4 linked regions of the Arabidopsis thaliana genome follow. The protein of the gene in region 4 purifies or fractionates together with the protein of the main gene of each other region. This does not show direct contact. Each region holds a gene or a part of one and is shown on either strand. Other genes may lie near its edges. The genes, in order: AT4G24820, AT3G55760, AT4G34150 and KRP2.

The links.
Region 1: the proteins of KRP2 (region 4) and AT4G24820 purify together in Arabidopsis thaliana (affinity purification with mass spectrometry, with the first as the bait; one large-scale study listed by BioGRID). This does not show direct contact.
Region 2: the proteins of KRP2 (region 4) and AT3G55760 purify together in Arabidopsis thaliana (affinity purification with mass spectrometry, with the first as the bait; one large-scale study listed by BioGRID). This does not show direct contact.
Region 3: the proteins of KRP2 (region 4) and AT4G34150 purify together in Arabidopsis thaliana (affinity purification with mass spectrometry, with the first as the bait; one large-scale study listed by BioGRID). This does not show direct contact.

The regions. Positions count from the first base shown.
Region 1 is NC_003075.7:12,786,964-12,795,316, forward strand, and holds AT4G24820 (26S proteasome regulatory subunit Rpn7), read right to left. Parts: upstream 5,760-8,353; 5' UTR 5,637-5,759; coding exon 5,498-5,636; intron 5,400-5,497; coding exon 5,285-5,399; intron 4,942-5,284; coding exon 4,851-4,941; intron 4,773-4,850; coding exon 4,627-4,772; intron 4,537-4,626; coding exon 4,317-4,536; intron 4,181-4,316; coding exon 4,072-4,180; intron 3,973-4,071; coding exon 3,804-3,972; intron 3,683-3,803; coding exon 3,508-3,682; 3' UTR 3,354-3,507; exon of another isoform or gene 3,106-3,353; intron 2,829-3,105; exon of another isoform or gene 2,636-2,828; coding exon of another isoform or gene 2,522-2,635; exon of another isoform or gene 2,405-2,521; coding exon of another isoform or gene 2,276-2,404; exon of another isoform or gene 2,088-2,275; 3' UTR 2,067-2,087; downstream 1-2,066. Other genes in the region: AT4G24810 (Protein kinase superfamily protein), read right to left, coding at 1-111, 201-354, 473-591, 714-822, 938-1,048, 1,240-1,364, 1,454-1,582, 1,662-1,709 and 3 more; AT4G24830 (arginosuccinate synthase family), read right to left, coding at 6,122-6,674, 7,003-7,091, 7,220-7,405, 7,495-7,569, 7,687-7,869, 7,977-8,025, 8,145-8,283. UniProt on the Arabidopsis thaliana protein: Acts as a regulatory subunit of the 26S proteasome which is involved in the ATP-dependent degradation of ubiquitinated proteins.
Region 2 is NC_003074.8:20,697,110-20,704,542, reverse strand, and holds AT3G55760 (uncharacterized protein), read right to left. Parts: upstream 4,230-7,433; 5' UTR 4,030-4,229; exon of another isoform or gene 3,916-4,029; 5' UTR 3,896-3,915; coding exon 3,370-3,895; intron 3,283-3,369; coding exon 2,639-3,282; intron 2,561-2,638; coding exon 2,370-2,560; intron 2,033-2,369; coding exon 1,657-2,032; 3' UTR 1,413-1,656; downstream 1-1,412. Other genes in the region: WLIM2b (GATA type zinc finger transcription factor family protein), read right to left, coding at 43-132, 226-260, 359-458, 610-744; AT3G55750 (Ribosomal protein L35Ae family protein), read right to left, coding at 4,990-5,031, 5,119-5,347, 5,721-5,756, 5,874-5,902; PROT2 (proline transporter 2), read right to left, coding at 6,386-6,763, 6,849-7,064, 7,150-7,274, 7,371-7,433. UniProt on the Arabidopsis thaliana protein: Binds preferentially to highly ordered alpha-glucans, such as starch and crystalline maltodextrins.
Region 3 is NC_003075.7:16,351,532-16,358,936, forward strand, and holds AT4G34150 (Calcium-dependent lipid-binding (CaLB domain) family protein), read left to right. Parts: upstream 1-3,325; 5' UTR 3,326-3,503; coding exon 3,504-3,549; intron 3,550-3,655; coding exon 3,656-3,760; intron 3,761-3,867; coding exon 3,868-3,994; intron 3,995-4,085; coding exon 4,086-4,157; intron 4,158-4,846; coding exon 4,847-4,892; intron 4,893-4,977; coding exon 4,978-5,287; intron 5,288-5,386; coding exon 5,387-5,424; 3' UTR 5,425-5,929; downstream 5,930-7,405. Other genes in the region: AT4G34140 (D111/G-patch domain-containing protein), read left to right, coding at 1-11, 100-157, 239-357, 471-554, 811-1,086, 1,234-1,442, 1,542-1,631, 1,736-1,828 and 2 more; CYCD3;1 (CYCLIN D3;1), read left to right, coding at 6,372-6,845, 6,935-7,136, 7,246-7,376.
Region 4 is NC_003074.8:18,797,811-18,803,668, forward strand, and holds KRP2 (KIP-related protein 2), read left to right. Parts: upstream 1-2,495; 5' UTR 2,496-2,697; coding exon 2,698-3,024; intron 3,025-3,100; coding exon 3,101-3,162; intron 3,163-3,246; coding exon 3,247-3,414; coding exon of another isoform or gene 3,415-3,418; exon of another isoform or gene 3,419-3,483; coding exon 3,484-3,556; 3' UTR 3,557-3,785; downstream 3,786-5,858. UniProt on the Arabidopsis thaliana protein: Binds and inhibits CYCD2-1/CDKA-1 complex kinase activity. Regulates cell division which is crucial for plant growth, development and morphogenesis. May regulate early lateral root initiation by blocking the G1/S phase transition.

The sequences.
Region 1 (8,353 bases), on a different chromosome or scaffold from region 4:
TGCCATAGCCCTCCAGTGTTGAGCGCAGGAGTAATTAATGCCAATCCCTACGCTGAGTCCTCTTAACAGAACTACTGTGCGAAGAACAGAGAAGAGTTCCTCTGGAAATGCCTACCCACAACCAGCAAACACACTCAAATTTTTGCAGTATATTCAAAACACACACAACTGTTGACTGAATATGTGTTTTCTTTTTTTACCTCAACCGAAATCTTTTTGATCGAAGAGTCTTCTGAGAAAGGTTGCAGAGTTGTCGTACCAGGAGGCATCTCTGTGTCGAACATTGTTTTTGCTAACTGGAGAAGCTCTTGTTGCTCATTCTTACACTTGGCTACTGTAGCTATACCAAGTTCCCTGAATTTACACCACAGAAACATCTAAGTAATAATCATATGCCACACTAATCCGATAGGTGACTAACCAATTTTCAGCTTCAATTAGAACCATAATCATGATAACAAAGTTATTTCACCTAAAGCTCTGTAACGCCAATGACGCATTGTTATCAGCGATGGCAATTACCAAATTTGCATAACCAAGTCTCAGGTGGTCAGGGAGTTCTTTCACTTGACCATAGTCCAGCAGTGCAACCTGATGACGGGAAACAAAGATTACAACTCAAAATATATAGACGGTACTAAAACGTATCAAAAGACCACAGTAAGTCAATTAAGAAACTACTAAAGAATAACTACAAACAAAAGATGACTTGCCTCTGAACCTTTACCAATCAAGATATTCCCAGGATGTGGATCCGCATGAAAGAAACCACTCTTCAGTATCATTTGGCCATATGCTTGGGACAAACTGTGTAGTATATTGCTAGAAAACAAAATACATTTTCCAATGCAGCATTAGACAAGATCCAAATGCTTTAAAAGCCGCCAATGCCATTGGAAAAAGTCAAAAACCTATCTGAGATAATGGAGGAGCTTACAATTTTGCTGCCTCTGCCATTTTACCATGAGGATTTATCCCTCTTTTTGCCATCTCATCACCAAGGCTCAAGATCGGGATTCCGTTCATGAATTCCATAACCAGAACCTTCCTGTGCGTATTATGATTATTCCTCTGATCAGCACTCATTAGTGAATATAACCGAAAATTAAAGAACTTTCGAATGGAAAGAGACTATGTCGAAAAGACAGGAACCATAATTCTTGATCAGTGAAACAGGACAACCTAAAAAGCCTTAAAACATTATTGGGATAACCAGAATGCTAATATAAGAATAAGTACCTGGTCACCAAATTTGGAAACACCCTGGGAACCAGAACAGGACTCTTTCTATTGTTATCATATAGAAAACGTCGGATCTTCTCCATTGCATTGGCCTCCCTTTTAAAGTCGAATTCATACCCAATCTAGTAAATGAAAACAAGGACTGATAGTGACTTGGCGGCTATAAAGTTCTTACCAGATACCCTCAAAATATAGAAAGAATGATATATACCTGCTTCTCTATTTCCTTTGTCATGGAGAACAAGTCAAATTTGATATCAGTTTTCTGCATGTATAATGCAAATATTTGCAAGTTTCTGATATCAACCATCATCAACTTCTCAACGCCAGGATGTTGGACCTAAACATGTCGTAGCACATTCAGAAACCAATTAAAAGTAGACTAGGAAGATTTCAGTTTTCTCCTCATTATTCCTCACCTTTACAACAACATCCCTCTTGTCACCCTTTACTCTTGCTCGGTGTACCTAGATAGAAGCAAAAAGAAAGTGAAATACAGTATATATTGAGACTTTCTTAACCAAACTATAATCTTATCTGATTTTATAAGCATGCACGGTAATACTGTACAAAGGTTCTGAAACTATGAGTGATGAAGAATGTAGTACCTGAGCAATAGAAGCAGAGCCAAGAGGCTTCTCATCAAATGTTTCAAACACTTGTTCGATGCTTTTACCTAACTCTTTCTCCAGGACAACTCGAACGGCATCAAATGGTGTGGCAGGAGCTTGATCACACAAAGTGACGAGTTTTCTCACCCAAGCAGCTGGAGCCAAGTCAGGTTTCCCTAGAATTTGTGCAATCTATTGAACAAAATGAAAAAAAGTAAAAAAAAAAAAAAAAAACTCATCATAAGCAACTGTGAACAATCAAAGAGTAAAATGTACAACCTTTATTCTCATCAAAGAAACAAAAAAAAAACTCATACTTTTTGTTACAACAAGATTTAAGATGAGTAATTCATAACAATCCCAAACGTGGAAGTCCCCTCTGGTAATCACAAACCTCAACAACAGTCTCAACACACCATTACCTTAAGGAAGAAACCACCAAGGTCAGAGCACATAGAATAAACTTTATGAGCAGCAAGTTCATGTTGTCTCTCCCACATCTCCTCGTGCTTATTAACATCCTTGACGAAGTTCATACGAAGTTGAAATACCTAAAAGCCCAGAACAAGACACAGATTGAAAGAAAATTGCAGAAAATCATAAGAAAAATGTATTACAAAACGAAACATGAAGAAGAAGAAAGGAGTACCCATCAATCAAAGAGAAACCTTGTATCCGGTGTAGATATCAGTGGCACGAGCCCAGAACTGAAACGATCGTTGCCAAGGCCGGAATCCATCAGAGAGCTTCTCCTGAATCTCTTTGAAATCGATCGCATGCATTTTCGAAGTTTTGAGGAAGAGTGATAAGGATGAGAGGATAAAGTTAAGAATTGTTTATGTATGGCGTCAGAGTGGAGTTTGCTGCTCTCTACGAATCCATTCGAGAGTGTTAATTACTGTTTCGTTAAATTGTAAAGGAAACAAAATCCGTTTGTCTTATGTCACACTCACTGTGAGTCACTGGTTATAATTAGGCAGGCAATAGAAGATAAGGTACTAATCTCCTCAAATCTTAAAGTAGTTTACAATGATGGTCTTGTTACTAACCCCAGACCATATCAAAAAATTTAGGAAAAAAGGAACTTACTAAACAGTAAGAAACAAATTGTAAATCCTATAAGTGTGATGGTGAAGAATCTCACCTAATTCACTAAACAGACGTCCGTGGAAGAAGAATCTGCAAAATACCAAGTTACCAACTACTGTGTATGTATCTCTCACAAGTTCAACCAAGGACTGTCCTTTAGATGTATCTAATTTGTGTTCAATTCTAACCATTCAGATTATGAAGTGTACTAATGCATTTTTCTTGGTATATCTATATGGTCAACTAATACACCTTGTGAAACAAAAGCTTTATTTTGTAAGAGGTATGGTGGTCGTTTTCTCTTAGATACTAGATAGATGCGATGAAAACAACAGATTCAAAAGCCATATGCGAGGAAGAATAAAATGAACATTGGAGATTAAACTTGCTCTTTGTTCTTGGGAAATTCACCACTGACAAACCAACTAGAGTTGATGAAAGAAACTACAGCCATTCATCTCAAAATCCAAAGTTCATATCGTTTCTCAGACCTTAAGATTCTACCGTTCGGAGTTTCCAAGTTGCAAAGCTTGACGAAAGAGTGAAACAGAAACATGTAGCATGCTCACAGATCGATCACACGAGACAGCTTCTGGATTCGGTTTAGCAAGAAATCCCCTTGCTTGATTGTTGCCTGGTAAAGTGCATTCTTTGCATCAGGACGGTTTGTCTCCAAAACACCTGCAACCTTGTCTATCTTACAGTGAAGCTTCCCAGCAGCAATGAAGCGCGACAACTCCCTGGATAAAAAAAAAAATACATTTCAAGTCAGATTTAAGTTTGTATTATCGTTTTTTTGTATGCTTCTAAAGAGAGGTGGCAAACATAAATATACAAAAGAGCGTTCATTATTGTGCTTACTGGTCTATGAAATCGACAGAAACGCCAAAGGCCTTTGCCATTGCTTCAACTGTCACACTTTTGTAAGATTCCAAAAACTGAGAGTACACCACTGTTCTGACTTCCCTCATGTAGAACCGGAAATGCGGGTACAAGTAACGGTCATACTTTATCTGCACCGCCATTCCAGCTGAGAACATAAGCCGACAATGAAGTTAGTAAACATACAGACAAAAGCCAAGCAACATGCATTCGGATGTATGACCTCTGGTCCTTGTAATGAACTTACCAAATGCTGAGAAAAACGCCTTGTACTGGCACTCATACAAGGAGTTCAGAAACTCAGAAAGGAATGGAATCTTCCCAAGCACGGTTAAGATCTCAGGTGCATCAACGACCTGTCAAATTAGTAGCACTTGATAAGAATTTCAACAAATTACATGGATATACATCATTTTAATAAGTCGACATACTAAAAAGTTTTTATCTAAGTTTAGACAACTCTAAGTGGAAGACTGAGCCATTGAGAAATACCTTTTGCTTAAGGGAAACTCTGTCCAAAGTTATGATGCTTGTCAGGACGGTGTAGAATATGAAGGTCTCATATGGAAAAATTTCATATGTTGTGAAGGTTGATATAGAATCCAGGAATAAGCTGGCAGCCTTCTTAAAATTTCTGGTGGACATGCAGTACAAACCTTCATAGACCTTTAGCCGGTTCTTCCTCTCCCAGTCACCACCCTCTTCAAACAATCTGGCAAGGGAAAACGGAAAGTGTTAATTCAAGGATTTCAGTTGCACTATCCATGAAGAGTAGTCAAAATACAGCCAAATTGACATTTACTTTTTTGCTTTGTCAATGCTCTTTGATACCAGATCAAAGTCCATATAGAAAAAAGCAAGTTGTAACGTATAAAACACCACGTCCATTTTTTGTCCAACAGCAACAGTTTTCCCTTCAGTGAGTTTTAGCTGCTCCAAAGCTTTCTCCTAGGATTACAAAACAAAAATTTAATGGCCACGATCCACGGAAGTTACCATAACTATCAACTTTGATATGCCACATACCTTATCACTAATCCTGATGAAATACAGAGCCTTAGCAAGATGAGCTTCACGAACTTCACTTTCACCCAAATTTTCTTCTGCATCTGCAATCCTGAAAAAAGTGAAAGAAAAGAATATGTAAGAGAACTTTGGCTGATAACATACTGGTTCAGAAGTTTCTACAAAGTTAAAGCGGAGGCCAAGATGGACTCAGAAACCAATGGTTAGGTAATGGTTATCTCCCTAAGAATACTAAGACATCATGCTACATCAGCTACCACAGGAACATGGAGATTCCCAAAATTCATAGTGGACTTTTGCAAACACAATTCTGAATCCAATTTGAGACCCAGAATGCTACAGTCCCCCTACATCAATCTAACCCAAAATACTAATACGAGAATTCGAATTTCAAAGCACTGCCAAATAAAAGTGAGAAACTGAAGGAAACTTACTTCTCGTCGAGCTTCTTAAGCTCCTCTTCATTAGCGGCCCGCATAGACTCTAACAAGCTTTGATCCAAATCCAGCACCGAAGAGGCAATTAGGGTTTCGTACAAAGGAGCCATACCTAAAATAAATAAAAACACCAACGAAACATCAGGAACATAAAATCTCGAAGAAATATTAAGCTAATTCTCACTGATTAGAGAAAAGGAGCTGCTTAACCATGGGATCTGATGAAATCCAAAACCTCAGACTTGAGCTGGACTTTCTCGATGTCTGGAACATCTGGATGAGTGAGGAGGAAGAGCTTGTTGGCTAGAATAAGGTGAGGCTGCTGAGATCCTTCCGCTCCACCGTCCATCGCAAATCGGAAAGCTTGAATCGGATCTGAGAGAGAGAGAGCAAATATATAAAAAGAGGTTTGCTTGAGCAAGGAGGAAGAGCTTACAAAGATTTCAGGTCCGATGGTTTTTTTTTTTTGTGTATGTAAAAAAAAAATAAGTTTCGCATTACCTTAAACACCCTTATCTTTTTTTACATTTAAATTTGGAATTTTTACCATAAGAAAAAAAAGTAAAAAACATTTACATTTAAATTCTCGTTATAAATAATTTAAACTTAAGATCGTTGAATTCAAGTAATGGATATTTATATTTTATATCTCTTTCCAATGGAAATCATAAAAGAAAGAGGCACTCATTATTAAATTTCTCAAGTTTTTCCAAAGTGAAGAAAGATGATAGAATTATTTCGAAAGAAGCTGAAGCTATGACGACGCATCACAATAAGGGATGTGTTCTAATGTCAGGCTCTCAATTCCAAGTAAGACATGAATGAAAACCATTTCTAGCTAATTTTCTTAAGCATAGCTCTAATTTTCATTGGAAGCCCGTAAAGACGAATAAACCCGGCTGCATCCGCTTGGTTGTAGATCTCACTCCCTTCAAACGAAGATATGTCCTGTCTATACAGACTGTTAGGACTCTGACGCCCTGTAACCGACACAGATCCTTTGTACAGCTTCAGTGTCACAGATCCCGTGGTTGTCTCGGTTATCTTCTCCATGAAAGCGTCCATGGACTCCCTAAGCGGATCAAACCATCTTCCTGCGTAGACCATCTCTGCATATTTCAGTGCTAATGTGTCTTTTACCTGAATACTCTCTCTGTCTAGAGTGAGGGATTCTAGTTCCTGTACAGCTGCAAAGAGGATAGTGCCTCCAGGAGTTTCATACACACCTCGTGATTTCATCCCAACCAGACGGTTCTCAACCATGTCAATCCGCCCAATCCCGTGCTTTCCTCCTATTGTGTTTAGCTCGGCCAGAAGTGTGGCTGGACTCAGAGCCTTCCCGTTCAGCGCCACTGGAAGTCCAGATTCTATCCCGATCTCGATGTATCTGTATAAGTGTGTAAGTATCAAAAGTTAGGATGCAAATTGCAAAATCCTACTCTTGGTATCTAAATTTGATAGCATAGCAGCTAAACCAGTTAACTCCTTTGAGAGACTTTAATAACGAGAACTCTCTATTCTAGATCTGATTCCCAATCCCAAACCATAAACAAATCCTGAACACACCAACTCATTCTGCCTAAACCTCAGCTCTGTAGCTAACTGACTCAACTTTAGTTTTCAAACTATCAACACAGCTATAATCCACTACAAACCACCTTGGGGTAATTACAGTGCATAGTTAAACACAAGGGCTCAAAGAAATTCCAACTTACTCAGGCTGATCAGGAGCATCTTCAGGATCCACACTCATCATGTACATATCTTTCTTTGGCTCGTTTGCTGGATCTTCCAATAGATCACCCTTTCAACAAAACACATAAGTTTGATATCAGAGCATGAGACACATTATTAGGAACTGAGCAATGTGACAAACTGGATCAATTTGTATCCAAAAGAAAAATGCGAACCAACACTTGTCTTTTACTTTACCTCATGACTAAGGTGCCACAGGTTTCTGTCCCGGCTGTAAATGGACTTCTTTGTCACTGGGACGGGAACATTATGCTTCTTTGCATACTCAATAGCATCTTCTCGGCCTTGGATTTCCCATTCTCTCCATGGTGCCACAACTTTAAGTTCAGGGTTTAATGAAAAGAAGGTGAGCTCAAACCGAACCTGGTCAATCAATCAGTACAAAAAAGTAATGTAAGAATCAATGCGTGTTTTCCAATGTGACGCATTAGCAAGACATTCCAAGTACTTGCCTGGTCATTTCCTTTTCCAGTACACCCATGTGCAACGGCATCAGCTCCAACCTCTGCTGCTACATCAACCATGGCCTAATCATTTAGAAAATGTATTAGTGACAATATGTAATCCAAAAGATATATCCAGATATTAGAAATAGTGGGGGTAGTCCTCACAAGTCAATCATATAAAACCATTCGAAATGTTACCTTAGCAATGACAGGTCGAGCCATGGAGGTACCAAGCAAGTATTTTCGTTCATAGATGGCACCAGCTCTAAGACAAGGGAAGATGAAATCTTTCACAAACTCCTCTGTGAGATCCTTAACGACCAACTGAGAAGCACCACTAGCCTTAGCCTTTTGTTCTAAACCCTCTAACTCTTTTATGCCCTTCACATCAAAGTATTTAGAGGTTGAGAAGACATAAGCAGATTGCAACAACATAAAACTTCATTTCTTAACTAAAACAGTTGACATGTGGCATTTTTGTGATGTACCTGACCAACATCAGCAGTGAAGCACACAACTTCACAACCATAGTTCTCCCTAGAAAACAAATAGTTACATATAAGGAAGGTCAGACTAGTTGTTTCATAACCAGAGGAAGATTCAAAACGTATTCTTGTTAGAGGTCAGAAATAAACTCAAGAAAAAGGAAAACATACTTAAGCCATGGCACAATGACAGAGGTGTCTAAGCCTCCACTGTAAGCTAGAACGACCTTTTTCAGTTTTCCACGAAGTCCAGCCTCCTTTGAATCAGTAGTCAAGGCGGTTCCATCACCGGATAGAACAGCTCGAATAGCTGTGCAATATTCAAGACAGCAAATTGTTTAAAACGTACTAATGGAAAATTTCATCAAGAGGGGATAAAG
Region 2 (7,433 bases), 1.9 Mb from region 4:
ATGAGTGAAGGAAGAGCAATGAAAGATTAAACGAGTTATAACCTTTTCAATAGGATACACAGTTTTACTACAAGTGGCGCATTTCTCTTGTGTACCAGAGAACCTGCCAGCAACTCGGCTAGGCGTCCTTGTCTGAAAACAAACCAAGAAGGAAATATAAGAGAAAAGTTCAATCAGAAAATGTATCCAAAGAGCATCTGACCAAACCAGAAAAGAAACATTTACCAGCTCAGGAGTTGATTTGTCAGCCGATTTTGCAGCTGTGAGGAAACAAAGTTGCAAGACTGATTAAATCAATAACCAAAAGAAGGGCAAGCGGAAAAAAAACATGAATCGAAGCAGAAACAAAACTACATACGTGACTGAAAGTTCTTGTTGAAACTACCACTCTCCTTAAAGAGCTGCTCAAAATGAGGCTTACAGTACAAAACACCTTCCATTGATGAGTAACTACTCAGCTGTAAAAAGACATTTACTTTATCAAGAGCTGCTTATGGTTACAATAGACATTCAATTCATCATTTAAGCAAGAAGATGGGTAATTCGTAAACTCATTCCTCTAATTAAAGCAGCATCGTTAACATGAATACAAAGATGAGAGAATCAGACCTGAAGCCTGCTTTTGCAGTGAGTGCATTTGAAGCAAGACTTGTGATATCCAACTCCATCAGCAGAGAGAAGCTCAACAGCATAAACAGTCTTCTCACAAGCCTTGCATTTCTGTTGAGTTCCTGTAAAAGACATCCTCAAAGCCTTGCCTTCACTTTTCTCACCTTCTTCTTCTTTTTCTCACCCTAAATTTCAAAAAACCCAGAAAAAATGGTATAAGAGGAAACCCCTTTGGAAAAATCTTTCCTTTTTCTAAATATTCGAATAACAAAATCGATCCATTGCTAATTGAAACAAGATTGTATCTATACGAAGCCGATCTAGATAGAATGAGATCGTAAACCTTGAGAAAGTTTATCACAAAGTACGGATCTAATACCTCTCCTTGAGCTAAACCCTGTCACGATCTGATCCTCAAAAGAAACTGCAAAAATACACGAATACAGATTAACCAGAGAAAGATTTGAGAGATGTAAGGATGCAAAAGTCAACTTCTTTGTAGAGAGAAGAGCTGTTACGTATATCTCTCCCCAATTAACGAAAAAGGAGGATCTATGTGACGATGATGAGGACGAAGTAGAAGAAGAAGATGATACAGCAAAGGAATAAGAATATCGGAGATTTTGGGTAAAATCCTTTTCTTTTTTTTAATCTTTGAGAAGACAGTGGGTGGGGTTCCACTTTGGCTTGTCCTCTGTATATTTTTTTTATTAGAATTTAATACAAATGTAACTGAAGATTATTATTGGTTACAGAAAATATTTGTCTTCTTATCTTTACCAAATAAAGAGTTTAGATTATCTGTTCATATAACTTTATGCTCCTGGAATGGAATGTGTTCCAGTTTTCTAATCAGATTTGTGTTATATTAGTAACTACCAAATAAACTTTGGCCATACTCATTAAGAAACACCAAAGCATAGAACAAATTAGAAGTCATAATAAATATTACATACATTGCACTTGATCAAACTACTCTAATATTGTAGGCCAATTCTTTGATTGTCCCAGCTTATTTATATATTTTATGCTTAGTATTTGATATATCTAGGACATATCAGAAGGCTTCTTAACGGCTCGGAGCTGAACAGAGTTGTCAAAACAGTGGAAGAAGCCAAAGTGAGGGAACTTCTCATACCAAGTTTCTTGTGGTACATGTGTGTCCCAGTGTTCACCGCTGCTGCTTTTTCCGTATTTGTGAACCCATCCTGATCCGTTGTGACCTTCTCCCCAGCTTCGGTTCCATCTGTCGCCGTGCTTCCCTTCCCACCAAGTCTCACCTTGTTTCACTCCTTGAGCGCTCGGGTTAAAGTTCTCGTCCCATTTGTCTCCCCATTTGTCCCAACCGTCACCTACCCACCGTTCCGCCCACTTGTCTGTGTACTTTGTGCTTCCGCCTTGCCCGTCATACTTCTCTCCCCACCTGGTCAAAACCAATCAAGACATATTTAGAAACACTCTACATTCCCTGTTATTTGGTCACAGCTTGTCTAGTGTCAGTTCTGTTTTGATAACAGTTCAACAAAGCTCGCAGACTAAGCTTCTAAATGTTAATAGAGCACCTTAAAGAGTATGAAAAGGCAATGTTTTGCTACTGAACTGATTTGATGTTCAACAATATAAGGTGTAAAAGTTAAAGGACAAACATTCTAACTTGTGTTAAAGAGATTGATTGATATTTTAAGGACTGAAAGTTAAAGGATAAAGATTCGATTATGTTATTAGTGTTTCGTTATGTGAAAAGAGGATTTTGAGAATACCTCTCGTGCCAGACATGAGCGTGGCCAGCGTCAAGAGGCGTGTTGCGGTCAATGCTGCACCACTTATGAGCCCATTTTTCTGATTTTCCGGTAGCATCGTAATGCTCCCACCATTTCTCTTGCCATTCATCACCTTGTCCACTCTTTCCCCATTTGTCTGCAGTTTTCTCCATATGCACAACACCATTCTCCTGTAATAGACAATTCAAATTAAGTCTCAAATAGTCTATAGTGCGTTAGATTTACTACGGCAACTACTTTACACTAACCTGGCTCATTGACTCTCTCCAGAACTCACGCCACACGTTTCCAGTGGCATCACGTCCTGATTTCTCAGAACCAAGTTCCTTGAACCCAAAATCATCAGAAGCCTCCCAATACTTATCTTGCCACTCAACAACACCATCAGCAGTAACCCCACGTATCATTGTCCACCTGCAAACCACACCATCAGGTCTTTTCTCCACACCCGTTTGCTTCCACCACTTCAATCCATCTTCGCTAACTCCATGCGTTGAAGATTCATCCAAACTATCAAGAACACGAGCTACTTCTTCCGCGTTTGCTGAAGATATGAGATCAAGGTCATGTTCTGTCGATAAAGTCTCGGAGCTAGGCTTCGTCTCAGCCTCTTTTCGAACCTCAATCAAAGACTCAAAAGGCGGGATAGTAAAGCTATGTCTTTCAGAAGAAAGCATACTCTCATATGGTATCGAAAGAGAATCCGCTGATTTATCTTTCTCCAATACAGGATTTGGCAAAGTTGGAAACTCAGCAGGCTTTTCCACAGCCTGCAAGTCCACAGAACTAATTTCACTACCTTGAGGAGGTGTCCATGACCAAAAATCTGGTCCTGGTGTCTCAGTCCCTGAAGTTTCTGACCGTGGCACATACACTGTTCTGCTCCACATTCCTAATAAAATTTCCAATAACATAGCCAAGTAAGGTGACTAATACTATCATTAACTTTGGATTGTGCTAACAAGTAGAAGATTTGTACCAAGTTTAGCATTTTTCGGTGTCTCTGTGACTTCACTTGTGACAGTGTTGTCTTCATTTGGGAATCCTTCTTTGCCGTCGCCGGAATTGTTAGAGGCGAGAATAGCTCTAGCTGCGGAGATTGCGGCAGCGGCACGATCAACGACCTGCATTCGCTGAATCCGATCTCTTTCCTCAACGGAAACCTCGAGGATCTTCTGAAACTCATCGCTCTTCTTCTCCAAGTCTCCTCCTTTCTCCTTCTCACCATCAACAGCTACAACATTCTCTGCAATTTTTTCAAAGGCCTTCTCTTTCTTCTCGCGATCAACAGCGTTCTTCCACATATCGAGGTACGATTCGCGTCCTTCATTTGAAACCCTAAGAATCCTCACACCGGTTCTACTACCCCTTAAGCTCCTCCGGCTCGTAACCGGTGCGGTGAAATTCACAGAAGCGGAGAAGTCACGTTGTCGTACTCGTTGTCCGTCGTCCCAATGAGAGGAACCCAAAGCTGCCCCTATAGAAACACCTAAACGCAAAGCCATTTGTTTCTTCTTCTTCTTCGCTTGCAATTCCAATTACAAGGAAGAATCAGTTTTAAAAACTTGTAATCAAAGAGAAAGGCGAAACCTTTGTGAGATCGTAGGAAAATTAATCACAAAGGAAAGATTTTTGTTACCTCAAGTTGAGCTGAGTCAAATCAAGATCTGTCCTCGAACGAAACTCCAAAATACACGGAAGAAGAAAATGATGCAAGCAAGGAATAGAATCTCGAGGATTGTGTTTAAGGACACAGTGAGTGTGGGATTGTAACTTGTGTACTTTGGCTCTCTTTTTTTTTCTTATGTCGGCACCAAATATCTGGTACTTCTTTTTTTTTTGGCGGGTGGTGCCAAATAAATGGTTTATTTGATTGATTAACTGTGTAAATTGTAACTTTTTGCATCATATTAATCATTAATAAATGGAATCAGTATAACGAAGTTACTTAATATACCAACTAGAATTAATATTCCAAGAATAAATTGATTTAGTTGCAAGAAAAAGTCTACATTGGCTACTTGCTAGTTATAGCATGAAGGAGAAATGATTTCTTTCATCAACACTCAAATTGGAGAAAAGGTTAAGGGAATAGAGTAAGAGAAATCTAAATAAGGAAAATGACTGGGATCATAGCTTTTCTCAAGTTCCATTAATACTCGATAGTATATGATCTCAAGAAAAAAAATGTTTTACTTCGTCTCAAGATAAAATCAAAACCAACAGAGAGTCTAGAATAAAAGTGAATAGATAAAACTACAGCTCCTGAGAAATGATAATGGCGATTCCTTCCGATACTTGTTGAAATCTAGCCTCCTGCATTAGGAAATCGAATCAGGATCCATGTTCACTTAAGTATATAAATCTTGGACAATCTATTATACTTAAAGGATTATAATCTAATTGCTCTTAACTACAATGCACAACCTTTCAAATAGATATAGCCTTGTTGACAAGGTTTCGCCATTAGAGAAGAAAAATGAAACAACTAATCTTAAATCTCAAGTTACAGAATCAGTGGTGTTCAATTCAACTGAAATGAAAGCAATAAATGGGACTATTGCATCAAAAATAAAACTGAAGTGAGTTTGTTATTACCTCATATGTTGCTAGGGTACATGAAGACTCTGACTCTAGCTCCCTGAGAGTAAACACAGCAGATCAAAAATGATTAGTCTGGAGGAAAAAATCCAATTAACCATGATTATGTCTCAAGAAGATAAAGTACCATTGACTTGGGTGGTAGGTTTGAAGTGAACTTAGAACGGACAACACCACTGTTACCATGAGGCCTAGTGACTTTGCCCCAAATGCAACGGTAGTGAGAACCGTTCTTCTTTGTCTTTGCCTTGTAGATGTAAGCCAAACGCTTACCCTTGTACCAATTAACCTCCTCTTGAGTGTTCACACCTTCAATCTGGACGAGAGAAGTGTTAGGGTATTGGTTCGACTTGGACCTGAAACATTACTTAATCGTTAGTAATCAATCTTTAATCCGCTTTATATAAGCAATCAAACTATCAACCAACTGCTTAAAAGCTAATCTTAAAGGAAGCAATAGCAAAAATGCATCACTTTGCACAACCATAAATCAGAAACCATGGAATAAGATTACAAATCTGAGAGCATTATCATTGAAATCTATCAGTTGTGGCAAAGTTACAAACTTTTATCGAGATCTTATATTGATATCCAAAACGATAGATGAATATTCAAATCCAAATAACTTAAGAATAATGAAACTAAACACTACAATCTCCAACCATAAACGCAACATTGAACTCTGAAAAATCTAAGAACATACAGAGAAAGACTGAAAATTGAAAGTACCTCTTGTAACCGAGGACTGTTCCACGAACATACAATCTGCAAAACAGCAAAACAAAGATGTCATCAGACTAATGTAAAGCACTAACGAACTAATTCGAATCGGAGATTCAGCTGAGAAAATAGAGAGAAATATGTGTTCGAAACCCTAATTACCTAACTCTCTCTCCTTGACGTCCCTTCATTTTCAATCCTTGTAACTCTCTTCTTCCTCTTCTGACTCTCTTTTATGCCGGCGAGCGATTTCACAGAGAAAAAACCCTAGCTTTCGTTATTAGGTCAAGACTTTATATGGATTCACAAATAAGCTCAGCAACAAAACTCTATTGGGCTTATATGCTATCTCAAACAAGTTGGCCCAAACGTTTATACGGCTTGGCCCAAATATGGCTCTGCATAAGAAAATGATTATTTATTTTCTTAATGAATATGGCTTTGCTTAAGAATATGACTACTTGATTAATTTCACTTTACTTTTTTTTATATCTATTTATCTCTTGAATTGTTTTGTTAAAAAAAAAATTTGTGTTGAACCGAAAAATAAATATATATATTATGTTATAAAAAATTTCTTTCATTTGAAATAATAAAAGTAACAACAAAAGGATTACAAATTTTTTCTAATTGGTATAAAGATTACATCGTTAAAAATGTCGAAGACATTTTAATCAAACATCAGCAAAAACATGGAAGTTCTTGGAGTCAACAGAGATGAGTCTAACAGCAGCAATAGCAGCAGCAAGAGACATTAATCCAAAGAAGCAAACATTGAGCCAATGCCATAGCTTTTGCACAAGACTAAGCTCATCATTCATAGCAACAAGATACATGTGATTCGCTAATATGAATGTGAGAGGGAACGTGCTTATCGCTCCGGTAAGGCTCATGAAATCTCCGAGAAACGGTAAAAGCGCAGAGAGAAGAGTGCTCACCGCAATGTAGCTTCCTCTTGCTACTGTTCTAAACAACAGATTCTTCATTGCCAATGGACTTCCTTTGACTCCATACTTTGTGTCCATATACTCATAAGTCGGACTTGCAAAAATCTACGTTAAAAACACAAGAATTAAAACGGTTAAGCTTAGGATTAAGACTCAAAGACTCATCATTGTGGTCTGGATAGAGACTTACATGTAAAGAGATAACAGATTGGAGAAAAGCTGAAATGTTAGCGAGTGCTTTGACCCAAACAGGTCCACTGACGCTGTTTAAGAGATAAGTCGATGTCGAGGACCCGTAAGCCCAATATCCGATGAATGTAACCGCGTACATAGGTAAAACACCAACAGTGAATTGAAAATACAGAGCCTTCATCATGTTTTTAACGACCGGTTGCTTCACCGTGGCCTAATCATTTGCACAAAAGATTAGTGTCACTCACAAAACAGAGAAAGATTTGATCGAGCATGAATAATAGATCGATGACACTGACCTGTATTTCCGGGAGCATTCCCGTGTTGAATGCGAAAACTAGATTTGCAGCTGCTCCTGTTATGGTAAAGAGTTTGTTTATTGATGATCCTTGTATGTTGTAATCTCTTTCAGGCTTGTTTACTCCTATTAAACCAGAAACAAAAACACACAAAATGGTGAGTAGTTTTTTTGTGGTTATATGAAATCATTTTCGAGGTTTGATTTAACATAAAAGTTTACCATCTTTAGCTGATAGAACTATTGCAACAATAATGTAGATTATGCTGAGGATTGTTGAAACTC
Region 3 (7,405 bases), on a different chromosome or scaffold from region 4:
AACTCCTTCAGGTAAATTTTCATCTAGTGTTCCGGTGGATTATTGAGTAGCATCTATAATATTTAACTGATACTGATAGACACGTTATTTGCTCGAAAGAGTCAACAGGGTGCCCAAATGACCAGGAACCTGAACATCGTCAACGACCTTCCTCATGGTTGGTGGTTATATCCTTTAGTAGATCATGGAGATTAATATATGTTTTTTCATCAAATGGTTTATGAAACTTTTTTATCAGGGTGGAAGATACACTAATTGAACTTTATCTGGATGGTTATAATCAACATCCCAGTGCTTCCAGCTATGAGAGGGCTTCTGGGGAAAATAATCAGGATTGTCAGATGTTGTCAGCTAATGGTCTTTGCCTGGGATAATGCTTATTAGAATTTTATATTGCATACGTTGGAATGAATTTGCTCTTCAAGTTTGGAATTTAAGGAGAGAAGCTACAAATTGTGTTTGTTCTCCAGGAGATGATGATGCTGAGGAACTTGAAGAGGGAGAATGGATTCCTGAAGAAGATTTTGATCCACAAGAAGAGAACTTTGGTGAAGGTTTTTATCTCTTCTGTTCTTTTCATTTGCTTTATTTCCGCTCCATATCAGCTTTCTTGGTCATGGTTTTTGATATATGAAGCTAAATAAATCCTTATTCCTCATGGTGGATAGTATTTTTCTCTCGTAAGCTGATCTTAAAATTTGAAATAATTAACTAACCCCCGTAGTGCTGTTTAGGGGGATCTTATTACTTCGATGATGTGTTTTCTTCGGCTCATATTCATAGCTTTCATGCTCACTGTTTCATTTCTAGCTGCTCCTTCAAGCGAGGAAGAAAGATGGCTAGCACAATATGGTCAAGTCATCGAATCCCCTGGGAAGACCCTGCCTGAGATCCCGTCTGTTGATTTGTGGGATTGGAAACTTGTATGTGAAACCAGAGAAGCTGACAATGAACAGGTGGCTAGGTTAGTAGGGAGGCTGGTCAGACAGTCGGCGAACCTTCATCCATCTGTGGTTTCTGGTGGCACACTTTTAAAAACTGCCCCAATTTGTGAAGCTCGGCTTCACCTAGTGCGAGTTAGGACAGGTTTACCATTTTCCTTCTAACCGAGCCTTGTTCCTGTGAAATGTGAATAAATATTGTGTTGCTGCAATCGATTTTTGTTAACCTGGTGTGCTCTGTTATATGGGGAAACGTAGAAAACGAATTTGATTTTCAAATGATTTATTCCAGGTCAGGTCTATAAACTTCGAAATCCTAGTGCCAAATACCTTGCATCCTTGTCAGTATATGACGCCTCCAACCCAACAAAAGATTGGGAATTCCCTGATATTTCAACTGAATGGCAAAATCCTGATACAAAACGCAAAGCCAAGAAGGGGAAACCAAAAAGGGCCAGCAAACTTACAGTGAAGCCTAGTGAAGTAGACATGATTGAAGAGGTACTCCAAATCCACCTTCATGGCTGAATTCTTGTATTTTATGTTTGAAAATGTTTGTGAAGGATGTAAACACCTCTTGAGATTCTGTCAAATATCTAGCAGAAGACAAAACGCAAAGCTAAGAAGGTAAAACCAAAAGCTGACTGCAAACTTACGGTGAAGCCTTGTGAAGTCGACATGTTTGAAGAGGTACTGCAAATCCATCTTCATGGCTGAATTCTTCTATTTTTTGTTTCAAACTGTTTGTGAAGGATATTAACACCCTGCTTCTTGAATTTTTGCCAAATATCTAGCAAGAGACAAAACGCGAAGCTAAGAAGGTGAAACCAAAAACTGACTGCAAACTCACAGTGAAGCCACGAGATGAAGTCAACATGATTGAAGAGGTACTCGGACCTCACCTTCATGGCTGGATTCTTGTATTTTATGTTTCAGAATGTTTGTGAAGGATGTAAACATCCTGCTGCTTGAACTTCTGCACAATATCTAGCAGGAGACATTTTTCTAAAGCTCTGTGTATGGGGAAATTCAGTGAGAAACTTAAATCTGTTAAGAGTATTTCGAAGGCATAGTTTAGTGTTATTAGAACCCTAGTAAGCTAGTATTTTCATTGTTGCTCCTTGTTGTTTATCAGCAGAGAAGCTGTTCATACAGAGATAGAGCCGCTGAGAGAAGAAATTTGCATGGTGGATATGGTGTTGGACCAGGTCAAAAAGGAACAACAGTGGACCATAACACGGACGAGCATTCAGTTCCCGACACTGGTTCTGAAGAGGATACTGTAGCAGAAGCATTGGAGCTATCATTTGGATCTGGAAGTTATGCAAGGAGGATAATGGGAAACATGGGTTGGAAGGAGGTAACTTGTGGATCTTATCACTTGTGAGTTGTGATGTTATTTGGTGTCACCGTAATTTATGATTACTGGGGAAATGCTAATGCAGGGTGAGACGCTAGGGAAGAATACAAAAGGTTTGGTTGAACCGATACAAGCAGTGGGCAACACTGGGAATGTAGGGCTAGGATTTCCTCAAAGGAGAAGGAAATAATATGAGGTACAAGATATTCAGTTTAAGGGACTCTTAGTGTTCATATATTACTTGAGAAATTGAGTTACTATATAAACTTGGATTGGCTTATAACAAGAGAGGTTGCAATAGGTAGCTAAATTTCATCTAGACTTGTAAGAGTTGAGAATCATTTACTTGCTGATTTTGAGAAATAGAATGAGAAATCGAAGTACCAAGCAATAGACAAGTTGGTTTCGATTTTTATTGGACCAAGCAATAGAACTGTATCAAGAAAACAACATATCGGATTTATGGTCCATTTTCTCTTGGTCGACAATTTTTTGAAATGGCGCGACGTTGAACAAAAATTATACGAACAAAGAAAGCTATTTCCAGGTTACTGCCTTTATATTTGGATGACTTGTTCCAAGGGGAAACTTTTTTTTTTTTTGTCTGTCATCTGATGATATTAGAACTTTCAAAGGAACCAAGATGATTGCAACAGCTACACTGTAATCTATAACCATCATGCCATTGGACGCATCCTAGTAAATACATAAGAAAGACACTCCCTTTATTTTGGTCTCCGTTCTTCAGCCACACCTTATAATATCATCCACAAGATAATAAGTGGTGTCTAGCAAATAACAAAGCGAAGCTATATCTATATTTATTTACTTATTGATTGTCGTGAATCTATCTTTAATGGTGACATGCCATAGAATTATCACTATTGTGTGGTTGTGCTTGTAATTGTTTGTAAAAATTTTGATTTTATGAATCAAAGATTATCAACATCTAGACTTTAATAGTTAAGGAAATAATAATATTTAAAAAACGCGTACCTAAATCTAATGAAAAGTCAAAATTACGGTCAACGCCTTACGAGACGCGTCTGGTTCTTGAAAGCAAGTTCTGCGTTATTTCATCATCAATCAAAGTCGCCATTTTATTTTTATTTAAAGTCTCACGTCACGGAATTATCTCTCTGAATTCATCATCTTCATCATTACCTTCTTTTTCTCAATCTCGATTGTTTTCTTCCAAATTCATGTCGATGATGGCGGGTATACAAGGCCAGATTCTCGAGGTCACTGGTTCGTACCTTTCTCACATCCCCAATTCTATTATGTTCTTCAACCTTATCTATGATCCGTTGAAATGTTAACTTTTAAAATTTCTGGGATTCTTTTGATTTGTCAGTTGTTGGGTGCCAGAAATTGAAAGACACGGAATGGTTTTCAAGACAAGATCCATACGTCGTCCTTGAGTATGGTGGCAGAAGTCACCGTACCAGAACCTGCACAGGTTATTTTTAATACCACCTCTTTTATTCATAATTTGTTCAGATCCAGAAAAAATTGAACAAAGTTAAGATCTTTCAATGAATTTGATTGATGGGTTTGTTTTTTCAGATGGTGGAAAGAACGCTGTTTTCCAAGAGAAGTTTATCTTCACTTTGATTGAAGGGCTTAGGGATCTTAAGGTTGCTGTCTGGAATAGCAACACTCTCTCCACTGATGACTTCATTGGCAATGCAACGTATGTGTCACTTCTTATCATTGCCTTGTTATGCTTTTTAATACCCGCTTTGGATTTGGAATTGAGTCTTTTGTTGTTTGGTTGTTATTAGGATTCAATTGCAGAAAGTTCTTTCTCAGGAATACGACGACTGTACCTGGACTTTGCAGAGTAAAACTGGGAGGTAATTACATTGGCTTTACTAGTTTTTGTTCCTTTTCCATTAAGTATCATGTTTGGTAATCTCGATTATTGCATGGTTCACATTTGTCTAGCTGATTTTGGTGCAACTTTTTGATGTGGTTTCTACTATATAGTGCTTGAATATATAGTTTCGCCAGTTGCTTTGCTTTGCTTTGCTTTGTTCTTGTCATTTACTTACAGTGCTGACATGGTTTTGCTCACTGATCAGAGTCGTTATGTGTGTTTTTGTGTCCTAAATTGTTAATCTGTGTGAACTACTTGTTCGAATGTTCTGTTTCTACATTGAGCACACTCACAATTGATGTAGCATTTTGATTAGGTTTCTCTGGAACTTATGAAAGATAACTAGACATTTTGACATAAATGGAGCTTCTATTGTCTGTTGTTAGGTTACCTCAGTAAAGAGATGTGAAGTTGCGTTTAAACATTGTAGCATCAAATTAGAATTTCTTAAAACTGGTCTCTTGAGGTATTCCATTTTTGTTTTTGAAAAAGAGAAAGTTATGTGTTTTTTAATCCATGGCTATGTGTTTTGTTTTCTTAAATTCCTGGAAAATCGGTTACAATGTGCCAAGATTTTGGTAGCTTGTCCTCAGCGATTGCTCCTTGTAAAAGATTACTTTTTTGATTAAAAGCCTTGTGAAAAACATCAACCTTTCTGTCTTGTAGATTCGCTGGAGAAGTACAACTCCTACTGCATTATGCGGGAGCAAAGGTAAGTCGAGCCTCAATTAGCAACATTGGTTAACATGTTCCATTATAAACAAAAGGCTAAACACACAATCCACTCTTGTATGCAGAAACATAATTACGGGTCTGCGCCATCAGCACCGTATGCACCTCACGTACCTCAATACTCAGCACCGCCTTCTGCATCTCCGTATTCAACAGCACCACCATACTCTGGACCATCTCTATACCCACAAGTACAACAATACCCTCAGCCATCAGGATACCCTCCAGCTTCAGGGTATCCTCCTCAGCCATCTGCCTATCCACCTCCCTCAACCTCGGGCTACCCTCCGATCCCTTCAGCTTACCCACCTCCTCCGCCATCCTCAGCTTACCCTCCTCAACCATACCCTCCGCAACCATCATATTACCCACAAGGTACCTTCCTTTCTTTCCTGTTCTATGCTGCAATTGATCGCATTTGCTTGTCTCTAACTATAGTCAGTGGTGGTTGATCTTTTTTCTTCTTGTTTCCAGGTCCATATCCAGGACAATACCCACCTCCTCCATACTAGAGCGTTTGGCGTTTAGAATTTGACGGGAAGTGGTCATGATGTATAGATTATAGTTATGGTGTTTTCTAGAATTTGGCAGACGAATTTCTTTGTTTTGTTTTTTTTATATCATCTTCCTTGTGCTATTGCTAGCGTGATGGTTAATTTTTGAGTTGGTCAGTGAAACTTATTGAGAAGTTTGGATCTTTTCATGTTTAACCAGATCGCAGATTATATTGAATTATTACTCTAAATCCTTGGTTTTGTGTGTTCATCATCCTCTTGAGTTAAAATTATGTTAAAAACAAAAAAAGGTTTTGGTTCTGTCTTTAACTTTAAGAAACGGAACTTATCGGCGTATAATCATCGCACTTGTGATCAGATGCAATTAGAAAAAGGTTATTTGGTCAATGTATAGCAATATCTTTAGGTTCTAACAAAAACATTATTGTTGACAAATAGCCCAAAAGTAGTAGAATTTAGCCGACAGATTTTACTGCACTTTGGTTTCTCGATCTCTACTCCAAATGAGTAAAAAGTGGGTAAAGCGGGAAACAGCAAAAGAAATCACACATTTAATAAAAAATAAAGAAAAAGAAATTCCACATTAAATAATCACAACAAGAAAAACAAATAATATATTAGTAAAAGACAAACGTAAAAACCATCTCTCGGCCTTCTCTCATAAATCAATCTCTCTTCTTATCACTCTCCGAAACCCACTTCCAGCTTTTTCCTCTCTCTTTCTCTCTCTAGTCTCTCTTTTGTAGCTCTCCCCTGCTAAGCTAACCACTGCACGTTTCCATAGAGAGGAAAGATGAGTCTCTCTCCGAGAGATTTTCTCTCTATCATCTTATCTTCTTCCGTGTAATGCTCTGAGCCAAAACCCAATAACTAAATCAACAACAATATAGAAGAGAAGAGAAAGATCTTATCTTTCTTCTCATTCTTGAGTTTAGTCCCCCACAATGGCGATTCGGAAGGAGGAAGAAAGTAGAGAAGAACAGAGCAATTCGTTTCTTCTTGATGCTCTCTACTGCGAAGAAGAGAAATGGGACGATGAAGGAGAAGAAGTTGAAGAAAACTCTTCCTTGTCTTCTTCTTCTTCTCCATTCGTTGTTTTGCAACAAGATTTGTTCTGGGAAGATGAAGATCTGGTTACACTCTTCTCCAAAGAAGAAGAACAAGGACTCAGCTGTCTCGATGATGTTTATCTTTCCACGGATCGAAAAGAAGCTGTTGGTTGGATTCTGAGAGTCAACGCTCATTATGGCTTCTCTACTTTAGCAGCTGTTTTAGCCATAACTTATCTCGATAAGTTCATCTGTAGCTACAGCTTACAGAGAGACAAACCATGGATGCTTCAGCTCGTTTCTGTCGCGTGTCTCTCATTAGCTGCTAAAGTCGAAGAAACCCAAGTCCCTCTTCTTCTAGACTTTCAAGTAAATGATGATACTTGCAATAAATTTCCTTAAAGTTTAAGTCTTTTATCCCTCTGTTCTCATCTCTCTGTTTTTTTGGGGGTTTGCAGGTGGAGGAGACAAAGTATGTGTTTGAAGCAAAAACCATACAGAGAATGGAGCTACTGATTCTGTCTACTCTCGAGTGGAAGATGCATCTCATTACTCCAATTTCGTTCGTAGACCACATTATCAGGAGATTGGGACTTAAGAACAATGCTCACTGGGATTTCCTCAACAAATGCCACCGTCTCCTCCTCTCTGTAATCTCCGGTTCGTAAACGACAAAAAGAAAAAAGCCACTCCATTTCGTTTTACCATCTGCTGAATCTGAGTAATCATCTTACATTCTTGTCTTATCTTCCTCAATTGTCTTTGTCAGATTCAAGATTTGTCGGGTACCTCCCATCAGTAGTTGCCGCAGCTACCATGATGCGAATTATAGAGCAAGTTGATCCCTTTGACCCTCTTTCATACCAAACTAATCTCCTCGGTGTCCTTAACTTAACCAAGGTTAGCTTCTCTAATCATCTCTCTACTTG
Region 4 (5,858 bases):
GTAAGAAACAGACAAAACTATGAAATGTCATATAACTAAGGTTCCATTCTTCGATCAGATAAAATAACCAAAAAAAAACAAAAAAAAAACTACACTCGATCACGCAAGTAACAAAAAAAAATGTGAAGTTAAAGGTTTTTTTTTACTCAACATAATACTTTACTACTTATCACTTTACTCGTTAATCAAACACTCATACTAACGACTATTTTAAACTTAAGCCATCTTCAAATTTTAGAAATGGAGAAACGGCAATTTTGCTTCGCATTTTGGTCTACACTATATACGGTTTTAAGTCATTTTGCTGTATTTTTATGTACTCAAGATTAAACTGCATTCTTCTACACTATAATTGTAAATGATTATGAAACTCTGAATCAGTGACTGTCTTTTTGATATAACTGTAAGAAAACGATAGAAAGTGCTTTGGAGACTTTTTTTTGTTTTGTTAAAGGGTTTAAGTGCTTTGGAGACTTGTAGTAACATTTATACGTGATTACAAATTGTGATCATGATATAGACTTTATGGATTATAAAATTTCGTGCCCACACAATACAAATCACTAAAGATCCCATGTGCCCTTGTCTGCATTCACTTAAGTCTTTTTCGTTTTTATTGGATATCTTTTCCATCTAGAAAGATATATTTAGATGTGTTGCAATTTCACTTTTCATGATAGGCACAGTCTTTATGTATATTTGGATAAAAACTGGGACATATCTAAAAGTAATGTTTTACGATAAATACTATCACAATTTAAATCGAAAATTATCCTTCAAAACGAATATCAATATGTATTCATTGAGAGATTTTAAAACTTAGGGATTCATTTGTTGGTACTAGCGTTTAAGTTTTCATAATTAAGAACTACGGATGTATACATAGATATATGATAATTTTATTTTCGTAGTAATTGTTATGATAATCTTTGTTCTTTTGAAGTCAACAACATATATTATGCGAATTTTTAAACTACATTATATGTTTAGCTCACTATTTTATTTTGAATATCTCATAAGTATGTATATATACTTACACATTGTTATAGTGAGTGTAAAAAAGAGAGAGACAGTTTAGTAATGATTGAGTATGCAGCTCGTGGGCACATTATTAAATTGAATGGTATGATGGATATGCGCAGACACTGTCTTGTGTGAACTCAAGAATCGATACAGAACGACGGCATTAAAAAAAAAGAAAAAATTCAATATAAGACGAAAATGATGATGGAAAAAAATTCTTTTATTTTTACCAACGAAATGTATGCGATATGAACTAGTAGTATTTAATTCACTGTGTGAATTAGTAGTAATATTTAAGCATGTGAATATGTTTGTGTACGTATTGTATTGCCACAACAAAACAGCATGTCGCAGCATTGATTTCATTATCACCTAACCGTTAAATACGTCATGGCCCTAGACTTAATGTATTTTAGACTTAATGTATTTTATACCTTATTTTGATATGTGTACGGTCGACCCCCTCACAAAATTGAAATATTACGACTATGCATTGAAAAACTATACACAACTACATTGTCAAATACTGATAAGATCTTAACACAGAAACACATATTATCACTAATAATGTAACGTGACAACATTACATTGCTTTACACACATTTTTTTTAATCTATTTAAGATGATTGGATGATATTGTCATTTTTCTCTATAAATCTAAGATTTTTATTGTCTTTATAATCTAAATTCGCAATTATTACAACAAAAAATTATCAAATCTAAATTTATTTTTAAAATCCACGATAATTATTCTCATTCTATTTCATTGGAAACACCAACCAATTATTTTAAAAAACAGAAAACATATTAATTAAAAAATTGAATTCAAATTCTATTTACCATTCTAAAAAAAAAATTATGCACTGATTCTGTAAACGTTGACACCGTTAACGTAGTCGTAGATATGCACTGATTCTGTAAACGTTGACACCGTTAATGTAATCACATCGAATAAAAGACATATGTTGATCGTGTAAAGGTATAAGATACTCGATCTATAACATCGTTGTCAAATTCCATGTTGCATATACATTATATTGCTTTACACACATTTTTTTATCTATTTGATCGTCTGTGAATTAATATGATAATTTGATGGTATTATTGTTATCTTTATAATATAAATTCGTAATTATTATAACAAAAAATAAACAGTTTTATCTTAATATCCACAATAATTATTTTCATTCTCGTTGATTTATTGGAAAAGCCAGCCAATTATATTAAAATAAATAAAAACAACATATTAATTCAAAAAAATTTGAATTCAAAAAAATTTATCATTCTAAAGTAACTAGATATGCACTAATTGCACTGATTTTGTAAACTTTGAAACTATTAATGTAATCGTAACGAATAAAAGACACGTATCAATCGTGTAAGGTATAAAATACTCGATTTTTAACGGCGCCGTCAAATTCTCCGTTACATATTAAAAGAATTACTATTCCTACTTCACACGAGGCTTTATATGAAAATGACAAGAGTTAATCGTGGCCGTTAACAAATTACGATCAAAACGAAGATCGTCACCATCTTATAACAGAATAACCCAAATGGTACGCGAGCTAGAGACTCTCTAGTAGAGAGAAAGAGAGAGAAACACAAACACGCACACATAACGAGTGATTTTAGAGAGAGATAGAGATCTGGAAGGTGACGTCGTAGGAGATTATGGCGGCGGTTAGGAGAAGAGAACGAGATGTGGTTGAAGAGAATGGAGTTACGACGACGACGGTGAAACGAAGGAAGATGGAGGAGGAAGTGGATTTAGTGGAATCTAGGATAATTCTGTCTCCGTGTGTACAGGCGACGAATCGCGGTGGAATTGTGGCGAGAAATTCAGCAGGAGCGTCGGAGACGAGTGTTGTTATAGTACGACGGCGAGATTCTCCTCCGGTTGAAGAACAGTGTCAAATCGAAGAAGAAGATTCGTCGGTTTCGTGTTGTTCTACATCGGAAGAGAAATCGAAACGGAGAATCGAATTTGTAGATCTTGAGGTGACAACGAAAGCATTATTTATCGAAACTGAATTTTGATTTACAGATTTTGAAATTTTTGAATTCGTTTTTCCAGGAAAATAACGGTGACGATCGTGAAACAGAAACGTCGTGGATTTACGATGATTTGAATAAGAGGTTTGTTTAATTTGTTACAGATATTAAAATTTTGAATCAGTAACAAACATTTCTATAAAATGTCTTTGATTTTTTTGTGTATAGTGAGGAATCGATGAACATGGATTCTTCTTCGGTGGCTGTTGAAGATGTAGAGTCTCGCCGCAGGTTAAGGAAGAGTCTCCATGAGACGGTGAAGGAAGCTGAGTTAGAAGACTTTTTTCAGGTGGCGGAGAAAGATCTTCGGAATAAGTTGTTGGAATGTTCTATGAAGTAAGTTTTTTTTTTTTGATTCAAATCTTTTAATCGAATTTTTGAAACTGATAATGAATTTGTTGTTAGGTATAACTTCGATTTCGAGAAAGATGAGCCACTTGGTGGAGGAAGATACGAGTGGGTTAAATTGAATCCATGAAGAAGACGATGATGATAATGATGATCATTGTTTTCACCAAAGTACTTATTATTTCTCTTCTGTAATAATCTTTGCTTTGATTTTTCTTTTAACAAAATCCAAATGTAGATATCTTTCTCTCGAATAATCAATAACATGTAATTCAACTTTTGTTTGTACTTCCTTGAGGTAATTAATTAGATTCGTGTTTTTCTCGATTAATAAACTATAAGTTTATAACTCTAAGAGTAATTATAATTGTTACTGAAAACTAAATAGCTTCTATTATTTCTATGTATCAATTATCATACAGTATTTGATTTTTTTTTTTTAACAATGAAAAGAGAGTGTAGAGCAGAACAAAAAAGGGTCACGGCTGACGTGGTAAAGGAATATAACTGTTTATTGATCAGGCTTTTTCAGTAAAAAAGTTACTATTTTATTCTCACTTGGATTGGATTGTAGGTGCTACTCTAGTGATTAACTACGAACTTGTTTGTGCTTTACAAGTTATTAAACTAAAATATTGTACTATCTCCTTGCATTTTACAAATTTAGCTATTTGAAATTATATATTTTTTAAAAATAAAATAGCTTAAATATACACTTCCAGTTTTTCCCTCTCAATTTCTTTCAACAAAGTAACTATTTTGAGTTGTATTATTTTATTTTCCTAATTTATCTATCTAATATAACATGGATATTAGATATGGTTGGTGTACCTAACGCCTATAATTTATACTCGATTAGCAACAACCAAAAAAAAGAAGAAGAAGAAGAAGAAGTTGAGTCATTTAAATCTCTGTAAGAGAAATGATTTACGGTCTTTAAAAACTAGTCCTGGACCAAAAAATGGACCTAAAGATCAGAACTTATTTGTTTAGAAAAATGAAGTTAGAATGAAGTTGAGTCATTTAAATCTCTGTAAGAAAAATGATTTACATAGTTAAAGCTACTCCTGGACCAAAAAATGGATCTAAAGATCAGAATTATTTGTTAAAAAAATAAAAAATACAGATAGATATGATTGGTGTTTATTTCCGGGTCGCTTTCTACGAGTAAAGAAATGGTCAATCACAAATCTTTTCATACCAAACTCTGCCATTATTACATAACTCTCTTAATTTCCTAAACCAAGAATGGCTTTATTATTAACTTTTTCCTCCTTTAATTTTGGTCTCTCCTTTTCTACGGAGTACTTTTTTTTGTTTGTCATTATTATCACTCTTACTTTAAAAATACTAGAACTCAAGATTCAACGAGAAAATTCAGAGGTTATGATTAAAATGTTTAAAACTGTCGTACTGTACTGATCGGTTAAAGAAACTGACACAACACAAAGATGCGAGAATGTACACTAAAACCCACGAGGCAAAGATTTTACTCTTTTCTTGTTTCTTCTTTTTTGTTTTTGTCAATAAGTGGTAAAGAGAGCTGGAGTCTTTTTCTCCACTTGTTCGTTTTTATGAGTTGGACTCTACGGGCCCAATATAGAGATTCCTTTGTCAATCTTGTGTTCCACAGAACAACAAGTCCCTTTAAAATTATTCTGAGCCCATTCATATGATCATATATCTTCCTTACATTATTATTTATATACAAAATTTCGAGAAACTGAATTCTATTAGAATTGGATCTTTCTTTGCTTGTTCACAATTGACAAAAGCTTGTTTCTAATACCATACGCATCTTTTATTGATTAAGTAATTAAACAGAAAATTTATAAGTATTGTTCTTTTCGAAATATGGTGATGAACTGATGATGATATACATTTTGATCTTAGTACATTTGTTCAAACAATGCAGTACATTTTTTTGACTCAGGTCCTATATGTTTCATTACCTATTTAAAGTGCATCATCATATACATCACCAATGATAAGTTGATAACTACTTATAACGAGAGTAGTCACTGTGTTAGTAATTAAGTACCATGTTTCTATATACTTTGATCATCTGATAAACAAGTGTTCACAATCAGGTTTCTATTCCTCCGGTTATCATCTTCAAGGGCATAGATCGAGTAACAAGAAACATAATCACTGCAAGACATAAGCGCAAACGATTCCGCAACTTGATGCAACTTTGGATACGATGAATCTCTTTCATCCATTTTCCTAATTATTTTGTCTCCTTGTTTTATCTTTTTTGCCAAGGATACAAATTTAAGGGCTCCTACTTTGTAAAGCCAAACCTTTTCATTTTTAATGATATTAACATTCATAACAAAAAAAACAAGTGTTCTTCAACTTCATTTTCAACGAATGAGAGGAATAAATACTTCAGAACAAGTCCTCACGCACATACTATTTTGATTATGCTA